3 linked regions of the Xenopus tropicalis genome follow. The protein of the gene in region 3 interacts with the protein of the main gene of each other region in a pairwise test. Links are inferred from orthologs where the notes say so. Each region holds a gene or a part of one and is shown on either strand. Other genes may lie near its edges. The genes, in order: snrpa, ndufaf4 and ndufaf3.

The links.
Region 1: the proteins of ndufaf3 (region 3) and snrpa interact in binary tests that used the Homo sapiens proteins (3 or more experiments, as listed by UniProt). The two-hybrid records come from large-scale screens. The link is inferred for Xenopus tropicalis from reciprocal best matches to the Homo sapiens genes NDUFAF3 and SNRPA.
Region 2: the proteins of ndufaf3 (region 3) and ndufaf4 interact in binary tests that used the Homo sapiens proteins (3 or more experiments, as listed by UniProt). The two-hybrid records come from large-scale screens. The link is inferred for Xenopus tropicalis from reciprocal best matches to the Homo sapiens genes NDUFAF3 and NDUFAF4.

What each region holds. Positions count from the first base shown.
Region 1 is NC_030684.2:78,498,318-78,502,329, forward strand, and holds the start of snrpa (U1 small nuclear ribonucleoprotein A), read left to right. Parts: upstream 1-1,208; 5' UTR 1,209-1,442; intron 1,443-1,503; exon of another isoform or gene 1,504-1,525; intron 1,526-1,830; 5' UTR 1,831-1,849; coding exon 1,850-1,922; intron 1,923-2,060; coding exon 2,061-2,233; intron 2,234-2,900; coding exon 2,901-3,074; intron 3,075-3,153; coding exon 3,154-3,333; intron 3,334-3,857; coding exon 3,858-3,946; intron 3,947-4,012. Other genes in the region: UPF0692 protein C19orf54 homolog, read right to left, coding at 778-850. UniProt on the Homo sapiens protein: Component of the spliceosomal U1 snRNP, which is essential for recognition of the pre-mRNA 5' splice-site and the subsequent assembly of the spliceosome. U1 snRNP is the first snRNP to interact with pre-mRNA.
Region 2 is NC_030681.2:88,491,612-88,495,889, forward strand, and holds the start of ndufaf4 (NADH dehydrogenase [ubiquinone] 1 alpha subcomplex assembly factor 4), read right to left. Parts: upstream 2,807-4,278; 5' UTR 2,799-2,806; coding exon 2,663-2,798; intron 1-2,662. UniProt on the Homo sapiens protein: Involved in the assembly of mitochondrial NADH:ubiquinone oxidoreductase complex (complex I). May be involved in cell proliferation and survival of hormone-dependent tumor cells. May be a regulator of breast tumor cell invasion.
Region 3 is NC_030680.2:136,757,757-136,761,700, forward strand, and holds the start of ndufaf3 (NADH dehydrogenase [ubiquinone] 1 alpha subcomplex assembly factor 3), read left to right. Parts: upstream 1-1,139; 5' UTR 1,140-1,187; intron 1,188-1,892; 5' UTR 1,893-1,917; coding exon 1,918-2,009; intron 2,010-3,278; coding exon 3,279-3,471; intron 3,472-3,944. UniProt on the Homo sapiens protein: Essential factor for the assembly of mitochondrial NADH:ubiquinone oxidoreductase complex (complex I).

The sequences.
Region 1 (4,012 bases), on a different chromosome or scaffold from region 3:
CAGATACTTTACTACTCATAACCAGACTACTACACTGGCAATTAGTACAGGGAAGAGCAGTCTGGAGTCTGTGGGTTCCTCAAGCATTATTATATAGTATACTTTGCAATATATAGGCAAAGACTATATAGCCCACATTCTATTAGTATGTGATATTTAGGCCTCAGTAGTGGATATCAAAATATTGTCACCAGAACTATGGCAAATATACAATTCCAAGCAAATATCTTGCAAGGAGGATTCTGAGCTTTGCAGTTCAAGTAGCAAATTCAGTCTCTATACCTGCCCCTGCAAATTGTGCTATGAACACCTTTTTGCAGCCTTTGGACAGAACTGGGGTGCAAAATGCAAGCTATTGCAGTGACCCATTGCCCCTGGTCTGGTTACTGTAAAAATAGATCTTGACCTTGCTAAATTCTCTACTCTGACCCTGAACTGTGGGTGTCACTTCCTAGCAATTCAAAGCAACAGGTCATTGTATCAACTCCCCAAGGAAGTCCTAACTGAAAATCTATTTTATTACAGGCGCATTAAACAGATCATTTTAATACAAATTTGGGGTTCTAAAAAGACTTGACTTTGGGTCCCTGTAATTCTAGTAATGCCATTGCACGGAGATGAAATTGTGTTGCTACTGGGAGGGATTGTGTGAGAGATTAAACATTTTCCGAGACGCTGAGGAATATGTCGTTTCTAAACCTTACATTGCAGATTTAGCTACAGGTTGTAAACAAGATCTGACACCGTACTTTATAGCATGTTGGTGAAAAAAACTACCAGATCCGGCTTCAGTTCGGAAACATTCTTTGACCACGTGTGTACTAAACCATATATGTATCCCCTTGTTCATCTGTACAGGTTAATTTATTCATTTTAATTGCCAACGATAGTATCTTGAAAACTATCACCTAAGCTATAAACGCCATGAAATCATATTCACGAACACCTACAACAATAGCAAAACAATATAGTCACGTATGCCGCAGGAGTCCGTTTCCTGTTTCCGGGAGGAATATATTAGCAGCTGCACCGCGTTCTACGCCTCGGCCTCCGATTTCATTGGTCGCGCGGCTTGCTTTGGGTTATTGCTATAGGGTGAAATGGCTTTCACTTATGGCTTGCAGCCAATCGATGAAGATTTGGGTAGGTCACCAATGATATACCTGCAAGACGTCGAGAGTTGCTGTAGCAACGCGGCCTAAGTTAGACGTAAATTGGGCGTTGAATGAATTTAGGTACAAGGCCTTCCGGTGGCGGCAATCTCAGTTAATCACATTGGGTTTTAGTGCATGCGACTTGCGTTGCTATCTTGAAATATTTCCTGCTATTGTACGTTCCATCCGGGAAGTTTATTTCTTTTCCAGCGTACCGTATTCGTATCGTAGCACAAGCCCAGCGTTTAATTTGGCGGCCCTTTTAACTGTATCATATCCAGGCTGAGGGTAAGTATGCTTCCGTCCCGTTCATTGTTATATCTTCCCGCTTCCTAGCTGTGCCACAACAACTACGGGCCTCTCACAATCAGGTCCCGGCTGTGATATTTCAACTTTAATGTTACCCTGTGTTCTTTGCATGGCTGTGTCAGGGGCTGTGTAGTTTTGTTATGATCTGGGTGTTGATAATACTAATAATACTATGTTACTACTATATGGCTCGCAAAGGAAAATATATTGTAGACCTTAGTTTGCACAAGTAAATAAGTCTGCGTGTAGTATAGGCACTGGTATATTATATGCACACTCTGCTCATACATAACTGGGCTTATGTACAGACTATACCAGGGCATTGTTCTATTTTAAGATGCAATTAACCCTTTTTTTCTCCCTTCAGATTAAGTTGTTGAGGAAGTATGGCTGTTCAAGAAGTCAGGCCTAATAACACAATCTACATCAACAACCTGAATGAGAAAATTAAAAAAGATGGTGAGTTAAGGCTGTAGCAATCCCTGGAGCGCAACCTAAATCTCTGTACCAGTGTTTACATTACTGCAATTTAGTGCTATTTAGAATTACTTGGTCTTTGAAAATCCAAAGATTTGACTTTTGCTTTCTTCTCTTTAGAGCTAAAGAAGTCTCTTTATGCCATATTCTCACAGTTTGGTCAGATTCTGGATATCTTGGTGTCTCGCAGCCTGAAGATGAGAGGACAGGCTTTTGTTATATTTAAAGAAATAAGCAGTGCCACAAATGCTCTGAGGTCAATGCAGGGGTTTCCCTTTTATGATAAACCAATGGTTAGTATTTATTGTAGTTTTTTTCCCATTTTTCATTTACTTTACTTCAAAGTGTTCTTTTAGGATAAGTCTATGGTTATAGAGACATGAATGATATCTGACACTTTATGGAAAAATGGTCAGTGACAGTGGAATGACCCATATATTTATATGAAAGGACATGGGTGTATATACCATCTTACTGGCAGATTAAAGGACTAGAAACAATTTTCCAAATCCCCCTGCCTATAAAGTAAACATACCTTTGTACGTGCATATTTGGGGTGTATGCTAATTTTCATTGAGGGGTTGAGAAGAAACTATGCACTCCCATATTGAAAAGGATATTGTACATAAGTTAATAACATCTTCAATAACCATCCTTCATAATATTTTTACAGGGCTCCTGGGTTAATACTTGTGAATGTGTGGGAGTTTACATCTGCTTAGGTAGTTTGCATGGATAGCTGTGCACATTGTTGCTAAAGGAATCCCACACCCAGTGCAATTAAATATATGGCTTGTTTGTTTATCTGTGCTCATTATTTCTTTAGAAAAAAAGAACTATAAAGCCAAGTTGGGTAGGGTGGTGGTGGATACATTCTGTTCAGTTTCCATACAGTATCTCCTCCCATTCCATTAAAACTTGGTTATTTTAGTCTTTATGCTGATTTTGCTTTTACTCCAGAGAATACAATATTCAAAATCCGATTCTGACATCATTGCCAAAATGAAAGGTACCTATGTGGAAAGAGACAGAAAGAGGCAGGAGAAGAGGAAGGTGAAAGGCCAGGAAGCTCCGGGTGTTAAAAAGGCTTTACCAGGTGCTGCGTTGCTTCCAGGCGTTCCAGGACAGATGGCGGTAAATACATACAATTTTTTTTTTTTCTTGAAAGAAACCCGTTATGTTGTGCACAGCCATAATTTTATTTATTTTTTAGGGCATGCAAAATATACCTGGTATGACTCAAGCTCCACGCATGATGCATATGGCTGGGCAGGCACCCTACATGCATCACCCTGGTATGATGCCACCACCAGGGATGGCACCAGGACAGATCCCACCAGGAGGCATGCCCCATGGACACCTGATGCCTGGGCAGATGGCACCCATGCAGCCAGTAAGTTAGACTACATCACCAGATCTGTCTGTGGGTGATAGTCTCGCTAGCTTTTATAAAGAGTACCTGATGTCTGCTAGCTTAACTATTCTTTGCAGCTTTCGGGGGAGGGGGTGCGGTGCTTAAAGGAGACATATTGGATAAATGGGGAAAACCCTAATATTGTAGGCAATTATGAATAATATATGGTGCTGGTTTCCCTTTGTGCTTAAAATTAATCCAATCTGTAAAAATGGCCCCTTTATTGGAGCTCCCTATAGATCCTCTCTTCTGACCATGTTTAAAATGAAGAGTGGGCGTTTCCTAATGGTCCCTGCCAGAAGCACAACTTTTTTAAGCGCAATCCTTCTATATCTAGAGGAGTAAAATTCACTGGTACATTCATTATTTTTATAGGATACATCTCCTTTAATATACTGGCAACTCCCAATAAACCTGGTGTCTTTCAAGAGCTGTCCACAGAAACTGCCTGTGTCTGAGTTTTTCAGTCATAACTTTGAATGCTGTTTTTTATTTTTTTTTAGATTTCTGAAAACCCACCTAACCACATCCTCTTCCTCACCAACCTTCCAGAGGAAACAAATGAGCTAATGCTATCTATGCTGTTTAACCAGTAAGTATTGCACAAAATATAACTGTTGTACACTGTCGTAGTTGCATAAAAACACCCTTGTCATAT
Region 2 (4,278 bases), on a different chromosome or scaffold from region 3:
AATGTAAAGAAAACACATACACAAACACACTACTAGCACGATTAAAAAGTGCCTGTGCGTGTCAGTTTCCTTTAAAAGGTAAACTTTTAGTATGTTATAGACATACTAAACATATTGCAACCTTCTTAACAACCTTTCAACTGGTCTTTATTTATTTTCTTTAATAGTTTTTGAAAATGTATCTTATCTCTAATAAAACTACCCAATACCTAAAACAGATTGACGGAATCTGTAACCAATTGGATTATGCACAGCACTGCTCTTTCCTAGCCAAATGAAAACCCAAACTATAAAAGTTACATACTTCTGTCATAAACTGTAGCTTCAGGATACAGTGGTAAGCAGAGTTGCTGGTTTAACTACCAAATTATTTTTAAAAGGAGAAGGAAAGGCTAATAAAGAGTTAATCTCAAGCTGCAGGCATACATTCAGTTGTCTCAATAGTGCCCTTAAGTCTCCCCATATTTCACCTGTTCAGATGATCAGAAGCCAAACCGGAAGGAAAAACACTGAGCTGTGTAAAGAAAGTTCCCATAATGCCTCACTCCTGCACAGACACCCAGACCAAGTGAACATGCTCAGTTAGTTAGACTATGAGTCAGCTTCCTGCTGATTGGCTCAGATCCACATTCCTATGGGGGGTGAGTGAGTTCTTAGCATTCTTGAGGGAGGGGGGAGCAGGAGAAAGCAGAGAGCAGAAAGCTGCATGTCTCTGGCACATGAATTACAGAAATCTTTTCACAGAGAAGTCAGCGCAGCATTTCTGTGAGTGCTTATGGCTGTATTTACATAGACCTTTCTGATAAAGCTTACTTAGTTTTTACCTTTCTTTCTCCTTTAAGCTGTTGAGGGTTTCCAAAGTACAAGCCTGGCAGTGTACCTAGCCCATCCCCCCCAGTGTATGTAGGGTAATGTAGTTTTTGTTTAACATTTTACCTACTGCCAAGGTCAATGCAAAACTACAATACTCAGCACAGGACTGACTGGTGTAGCAAGAACTTATCTACTCTTTGCAGCAGTTCTAGCCTTTCAGTTCTAACCTGACTGCATTACAAACTTCTCATTGATGCATCTGGTATGTGCTGCTACTTTGTAATGTGATGTGGGGGGTTAACATTTGATTCTGCAGTTGACCACTAAAATTATACCTCCTGGGGTTGCCGAGAGTTAAACTTAAACACAGCCATATATCGTGTCTGAGGGTTAATGCCATACTGTGAATCCACTTTTGCTGCATTACCTCCATACTGTAACGCTTTATGTGGAACATCCCTGATTTTTTATCATCCAGCCCACAGTTCTGGATTGTCTGTTGATGTCTTTGATTTCAGAGTTTTGCAAACTGAGGCTCTAATGACATTCTCCCACATTATATAAAGCATTGCTGCCAGGAGACTGAGAGCGAGGGGTGTATGGCTGGTTTGGGGAATGCAGTTAAGGCTACAACTGCGTCTTTCATGAAATGCTTCGGGGCCCACTGTATGCCATGAAGTGCTTAGCATGGTATGGGGGGGGTGGACAATTAATACACCCATTACGTGTTGGTGGGTATGCATGACCTACCTCTTTTATTAGTGATTTATATTTAAGAGTGCTGTTACTAATAAATTCTTCCATTCCCTGGATACTTGGATGGCTTATTGTAAGCTGAAGCTGGCAGCGTATGTTGAAGTAAAACTACAATAACCTGCATGTACCCTGCACATAAGGGCATAGCAATATCAGATATCCTAGTATCAGAAAGGTGGGCACAGGTAGCAATTCCAGACTTGTAAGGCCAAAGTGAAGGCATATTTTTCACATATAAATATTTTTTTTATTTGACTGGGTAAATTGTGCTATTTTGAAACTGCTTTTGAAACAGCTTTGTGACAGATTTTGGCTGGTTTTGAAAATTAGACCTAGCAACCCTGATGGTAACAAGGACACCCTTCGTAGCCCTATCTGAAAAAAACTAGCACCAGTAATGAAATACCTACAACAGCACCTTTTATATCACTATTGCTGACAGCTGAAGCTCAGACAACTGAATGCACCAAAATGCATAGCAAATGTTTTTCAAAGTATTTTCAGGGATCAGAGTTGTTCTACCAATTTGTCAGTTTACTGAGCTGGAATGCACTGGTTGAATCACAGACTACTTTGATTCATAATAATTTAGACTGTGGTACCTGGCTGCACTTGCTTTTAAGAGTCCAGAATAACTTTTTGGTTCTAATAAATGTACACTGCAGAATTAGAACATCTATCTGCCATGCCAGGCAACAAATGCAAGGATTCTTTGTGCAATGACTAGTATTTATCCAACTATAAATGTAACACAGGAAAGCGATACTACTAATAAAAATAAATGAGGCAGTAGCACAACCCTTCAGGGTTCCACATTAGAGACCTAACCCATAGGTCATGACCTCTAACCAATGAGAAGTGCAGAACTTTTGTTCCCAGCATGCCTTTCTCACACACAAGCTAACCTTGTCATACGGAGTGAACTGATCTTAGCTGCAGTCGCTCTAGTAAACATTTAAGAATATGTACTATGTGTATTTTATAAAGTATTTTTCTGTGTATAACGAAAAACAAAAGTTCACAAGCTACATAACTGGTACATAGGATGCAAATATAATATCGCTGTGTGTACAAGTCTCCCACCCATACTCACGTGTTTTGGTTGCCCTCACTGCATCCTCTGTTTTGGGGTGGGTGGGCGCCGGCCTCGGCTTCTCCTTGCCAATAAGCCTATGAGCCCGATTTTCAAGGTTAAAGTTCCGCATGGCTCGGGTTAATGATAGCCCCATGCCTGTGCATAGCGTGCCCGGCTAGCCGCGCTCTGTATAAGGACGAGAGCCAAGGGGCCTGACGTGCCGATATCCTGCTTGAAGCACGTAAGGAGCCAGAGGGGGCTGGGTGCCAGTACCAAGGTTGGGCGAGCGTCCTGCCCTCTCCTCCCCTTTAAAATCTCCAATATCCAAATCCTTGTCGGGCTTCTGTTGCTATGTGCTGACAGGTCCCCCCCTGCCCCATCGGAACTCCTCTGTGCTGCCTGCCATTTAAGTTGTGCAATCTGCTCTTAGTTTGTCCTGACAGATTCCTGCTTCCCCGTTTATCCAAGTCATCTCTGGGCGTTCCTCCATTGAACAGCCTCCATGTGACATCTACCCGGCTTGCCTGCATTCTAACGGCTGCACAGTCTTTGTCCTCCATCCACCTTGCTTTCTTATGCGACCCACCACCCCTTCCTTGCAAGGTGGAAGGATGTGTTATTCCCGATTCCCTTCCTTAAATACCATCCAACCGCTAAAGCAGTGCTGTCCAACTGGCGGCCCGCGACCCCCCTCTGTGTGGCCCCCCACCTGTCTGGCTGCTTTGATGGCTTACTCTTGTGTAAGCTTTAAATGGTATCAGTACTGTGATTAACTGGCCCCCTGCATGGTTCTCACCTCAGATTCAGGCTGTAATCAGGCTGTATTGTTTAAATATGTAATCCCCTGTGTTGTTCACACCTTTTAATCTCTGCATTGTTCACCCCCTGCAGTGTTCACACCTCAGGCTCAGGCTGTAATCACCCCATTGTTCCCCTGTTCACACCTCAGGAGCAGTAGAAACCCACAAATAATCCCTGCACACTACAAAAAGAACATATACTGAGGTGGTACTGCAATTAAAAAGTTTTTTAATATATAGTTATTGTGCAGACTGTAGGAGCAATGCCAGCATTGTGTCACTGTAGGCTGCCTGTGTGTGCCATATACACAGGCATCATAGGGCAAGCAGAGTATGGCACACGCAGGCAGGGTAGGGAAGGCAGAGTATGGCACACACAGGCAGGGTAGGGAAGGCAGAGTATGGCACACACAGGCAGGGTAGGGAAGGCAGAGTATGGCACACACAGGCCAAGTATGGCACAAACCAGCCAAGAATGGCAAACACAGTGAAAGTATGGCACATGCAGGCAGGGTAGGGAAGGCAGAGTATGGCACACACAGGCAGGGTAGGGCAGGCAGAGTATGGCACACACAGGCCAAGTATGGCACAAACCAGCCAAGTATGGCACACAGGCAGGGTAGGGAAGGCAGAGTATGGCACACACAGGCAGGGTAGGGAAGGCAGAGTATGGCACACACAGGCAGGGTAGGGCAGGCAGAGTATGGCAAGTTTTTGCTGTACTACAACCATTAATATGGGTATGGTCATGTGATAACATGGGTGTGGTTTCAAGTGGGTGCGGTTTCAAAAAGGGGAGTAGTCAAAACTGGCTTCCATTATCGGCCCTCCACC
Region 3 (3,944 bases):
TCTATGCCATGAGAAAAAAGGAGAACCTTCCCTCGGGTGGCATTTACCAGGGGGTGGCAGAAATGTACTTGTATAAGGTGGGGGTGGCAGCCAGGGGCACTGATGCCATGAGGTGAGTTGAGATATTTGCCTCAGGTGGCAGCGGCCCGCAACTTACCAGGGGTAGCAAAAACAGGCACAGGCAATGTATTTTTTCTCTACCTACAGGGCACTTGTAGTTTTGTAATATATTTTTTATCCCTGCCTGCACTTAGAGCGTGGTAACTGTCTGAAAACCATGACATGCCACATTTTCTTTTGCTTGTGGGAATCTGCAGCCTTAGGCAGCCACATACACACAATAAATAGTGACTGTCTATGGAATCTTAGGGTCCCCATACAAGGGCCAATTCTATCTGCCGATATCGGTCCCTTAGACCGACTCGGCAGCTTATCGGCCCGTGTAAGTGCACTAACGACAGGCCTGCCTGACTGATATCTGGCCTGAAATCAGACAGATATAGATCAGGCAGGTTTGAAAATTTAGTCGGATCGGGGACTGTTAGCTCGCTGATGTGGTCCCCGAACCAACTGCGACTGCGCCTATGCCTGTCGTTCTAATTTGATCTTTTGGCCCCAGGGCCAAATGACTGAATTAGCCCGATATCACCCACCCATAGGTGGGGATATAGGGAGAAGAGCCGCTCGTTTGGTGGCCTTGGTGGCTTGGTTTTTCGCATATACATAAAAAACAGATGGCATCAGCAGAGGTATCATTTGGGGCAGAAGTTTGTCTAAGGCAGGTCTGGACTGGGATTCAAAGCCCTGGCATCTCAATTACTGGCATTTGCCAGAATCCACAGGTTGCCATTTGGGGCCTAGACTGGTGGGTCCAGTCAGAATCAGCCATATAACTGAGCCATATTTGGTGTGTACAGCCGTGATGGGACGGTCCCCTTTAAGATTCCTAAAGAAATATGTTTTCACAACACAAACTTCCCGCCCTTACAGCAACCAGTGCGTCCCGCAGCAATTCCCATAACATCCTACTTATAATGCAGGCACACTAACTGGCCACTAGATGGGGCGCTGTATGAAGTGATGCGGGAGTAAAGGCCGGTCTCTATGGTAGGTATCGGTGCCGGGCGGCCATGCTGTATGTACAAGGGCATGAATACACTGTGAGACTGTGGCATTGCTTCTCTCCGGTAGGTTATCGCTGGGGTGTGTGGCCGGGTCTGTGATACACGGTGTAGGGATCCTAGTCTAGGGGAGGAACGGGTGTAGGGTGGGACAGAATGAGTATTTACCCTGGGTCCCAAGGTTTATAGGGGGCACAGCCATGAGTGATGTAAACTATGACTCCCAGGATCCTCCAAAAGCCTTAATTCAACTATAGTTCAGCAACACTTTTCTGCAAAATGGACACCCCTAATTTATTGTGAATATAGCTCCAGATGAGACTGGGGTTATACCGCCATACAGCTACATAGCCAGGGGTACAGGCCAAGCCATTCAGTGATTCCTCAGGGATGTGCCCTCTGGCCACTCAGCCCTGCCCTTGGCTCTGGCACAGGGAATCCCAGCTGCAAGTTATATGGCTGTGCCAACTCATGGCATTATAGGGGCACAATACACACACATTCAGCTTTGTCAGCACAAACAGGATACATTGAACTGACACTTGCATTCTTCCTATTTTATTACCTTAACAAAAAGTACAAATTCTATTTCTTTTTCATTATAATGAGTTACAAGATGATTGTTGGGTTGTTTTACTCCCTCCTCAATGTAATGGGATGAGTTACAAAGGAAAACTGCAATGTATACAGACCTGCTCCTATATATAATAGATTTCTCCCGTTGTCCCTGCCAGGTTGTGTGATTAATGTATGAACTGCTTTTATTCACAGGCCTCTGTGATCCCAACAGACTGCTATGGCTCTCTCAGCAGCACTCAGGCTTCAGTCTCTGCGCTCTCTGGCCCCTCACTGCAAGCTCTTTGCATCTGCTCTCCAATCACACACACAGTAAGTATGGCACAGTGGGGCTCATTCATACACACATGGCACATTTGCACCAGGGCAGTAACCCATAGCAACCAATCTGTCATTAGATTTTTCCAGCCAGCTGCAGGGAGAACACGAAACGCAAACTTCTGATTGGTGGTCATGGGATACTGCCCAGGTGCAAATTTGCTCAGTGTTTTTAAATGCCACAGTAAGTAACAAATGCATACAATGTGTTGCTGCAAAAAAATGCAGTTTAATGGTTCAGGTTGTGTCTTAAGGTGCCCATACACGTGAAGATTCACTCGCTTTGCTCTGATCTTCACCTGATATCCCCACCTACGGGTGGACGATATCGGGGAACATATAGGCTAATAATGGTGGCAATGGGGCAGTCGGTTCGACTGAATCTTTTAACCTGCCCGATCATTATCTGGCCAATTTCAGGCCAGGTATCGATCGGGTCGTTTCTGCTCCTACACGGGCTGATAAGCTGCCGAATCAGTCCAAAGGATCGATATCAGCAGCTACAATCAGCCCATGTATAGGGACCTATAGCAAAGAAGCACCATTTTGTTTCCCAGGGCTAGTGCAGTGCAAATGTGTGATATTTCAATATGGGTTACTAGACTGGGGCAGCGTTTGCTCATGTGACGCAGTTTTTTGTGCCTAATTCAAGATTCAAATAACTTTATTAATCCCAAAGGGAAATTGCTTATGCTCGGTTACAGATGCTCACAGTTATCTAATAAATAAATAAAAAACCTCCGTAAAACAGTAAGTATCAACTTTATAGGAATGATAATACATTATGGCTCAGATCAGGCCCAGACTGAGGTTCAAAATAGGCCCTGGCATTCCAAGTACACATAGGCCCAAACAGCCCGCCCCCAGCCCAATAAATAGTGAGTGTCTATGGCATCTTACAGCAGCCCCTCTGGCATTTGCCAGAACCCACAGATTGCCAGTCCGGGCCTTTCTGCTGTAGGAACAGGAGTCACTTGGAGACCACCAAAGCAGGATTTTGGGTTATATAGCAGATTCTCAGTGCTGCCCCAGGGAAAGCACTGAGTCTACAGTATATCACAAAGTATTATTTGATTGTAGGTGGGAAAGTATATGTCCCTAAGTGACCCAGCGGTAAATAATGATCACTTCTAGAAGTTTCTTATGATACAGTGCAGTATGATGGTGGGTGATATTCCATTCAAATGTATATATGGGCAACGTGCATTCCTCCAGATTGTTATACCAATTGCCCTTAATCTGGTGACTCTACTTTGCTTGCAGGCAGCCATGCCGGTCTCACCGCCTTGCTCCAACAGACGACGAACTCTATCAGAGAACCACTGTTACCCGCCTAGAGAGAGACTCTGCGGAGTTCATGTTTATTGAGACTTACAGCTCACAGGGGTTCATTATTAATGGGGACAAAGTAGTGGGCCCGTGTGCTGTCATTCCGAAGGCCATCCTGCAGTGGAACGTGAGTGGGAATTTGCTTCATCCCAGTGTGACCAGCTGTCCTCCCAAACTGCTTGCACTGTGCAAATGACTATCCAGTATGCATGCATTGTCCTGGAGGGATTATTTTGAGGTTACAGTATGTGTGAGCAGGTTGGGGGATTAAACTGGGAAGTAACATACCTTTAGACACACTCCCCCATATGTAATAAGAGGCACTAAGTTTTTCTTGGAGTAGTAACCCATAGCAACCAATAAGATGTTTGCTTTTAAACAGGTAACTTCTACTTGCTGATTGGTTGCTATGGGTTACTGCTCCTGGGCAAACTTAGTGCCTTTTATTACATGACCCCCAGTGTGATTAATTCAACTACAGTCTGGAACTGAAACTGTTCTCTCAGGTTCCCTTTGTCCAATGTTTATAGTGTATAGATCAGAAAGCATTCAGTGTGACAAATATGTAATTATATGAGAATTCCAGCAGGGGGCACATAC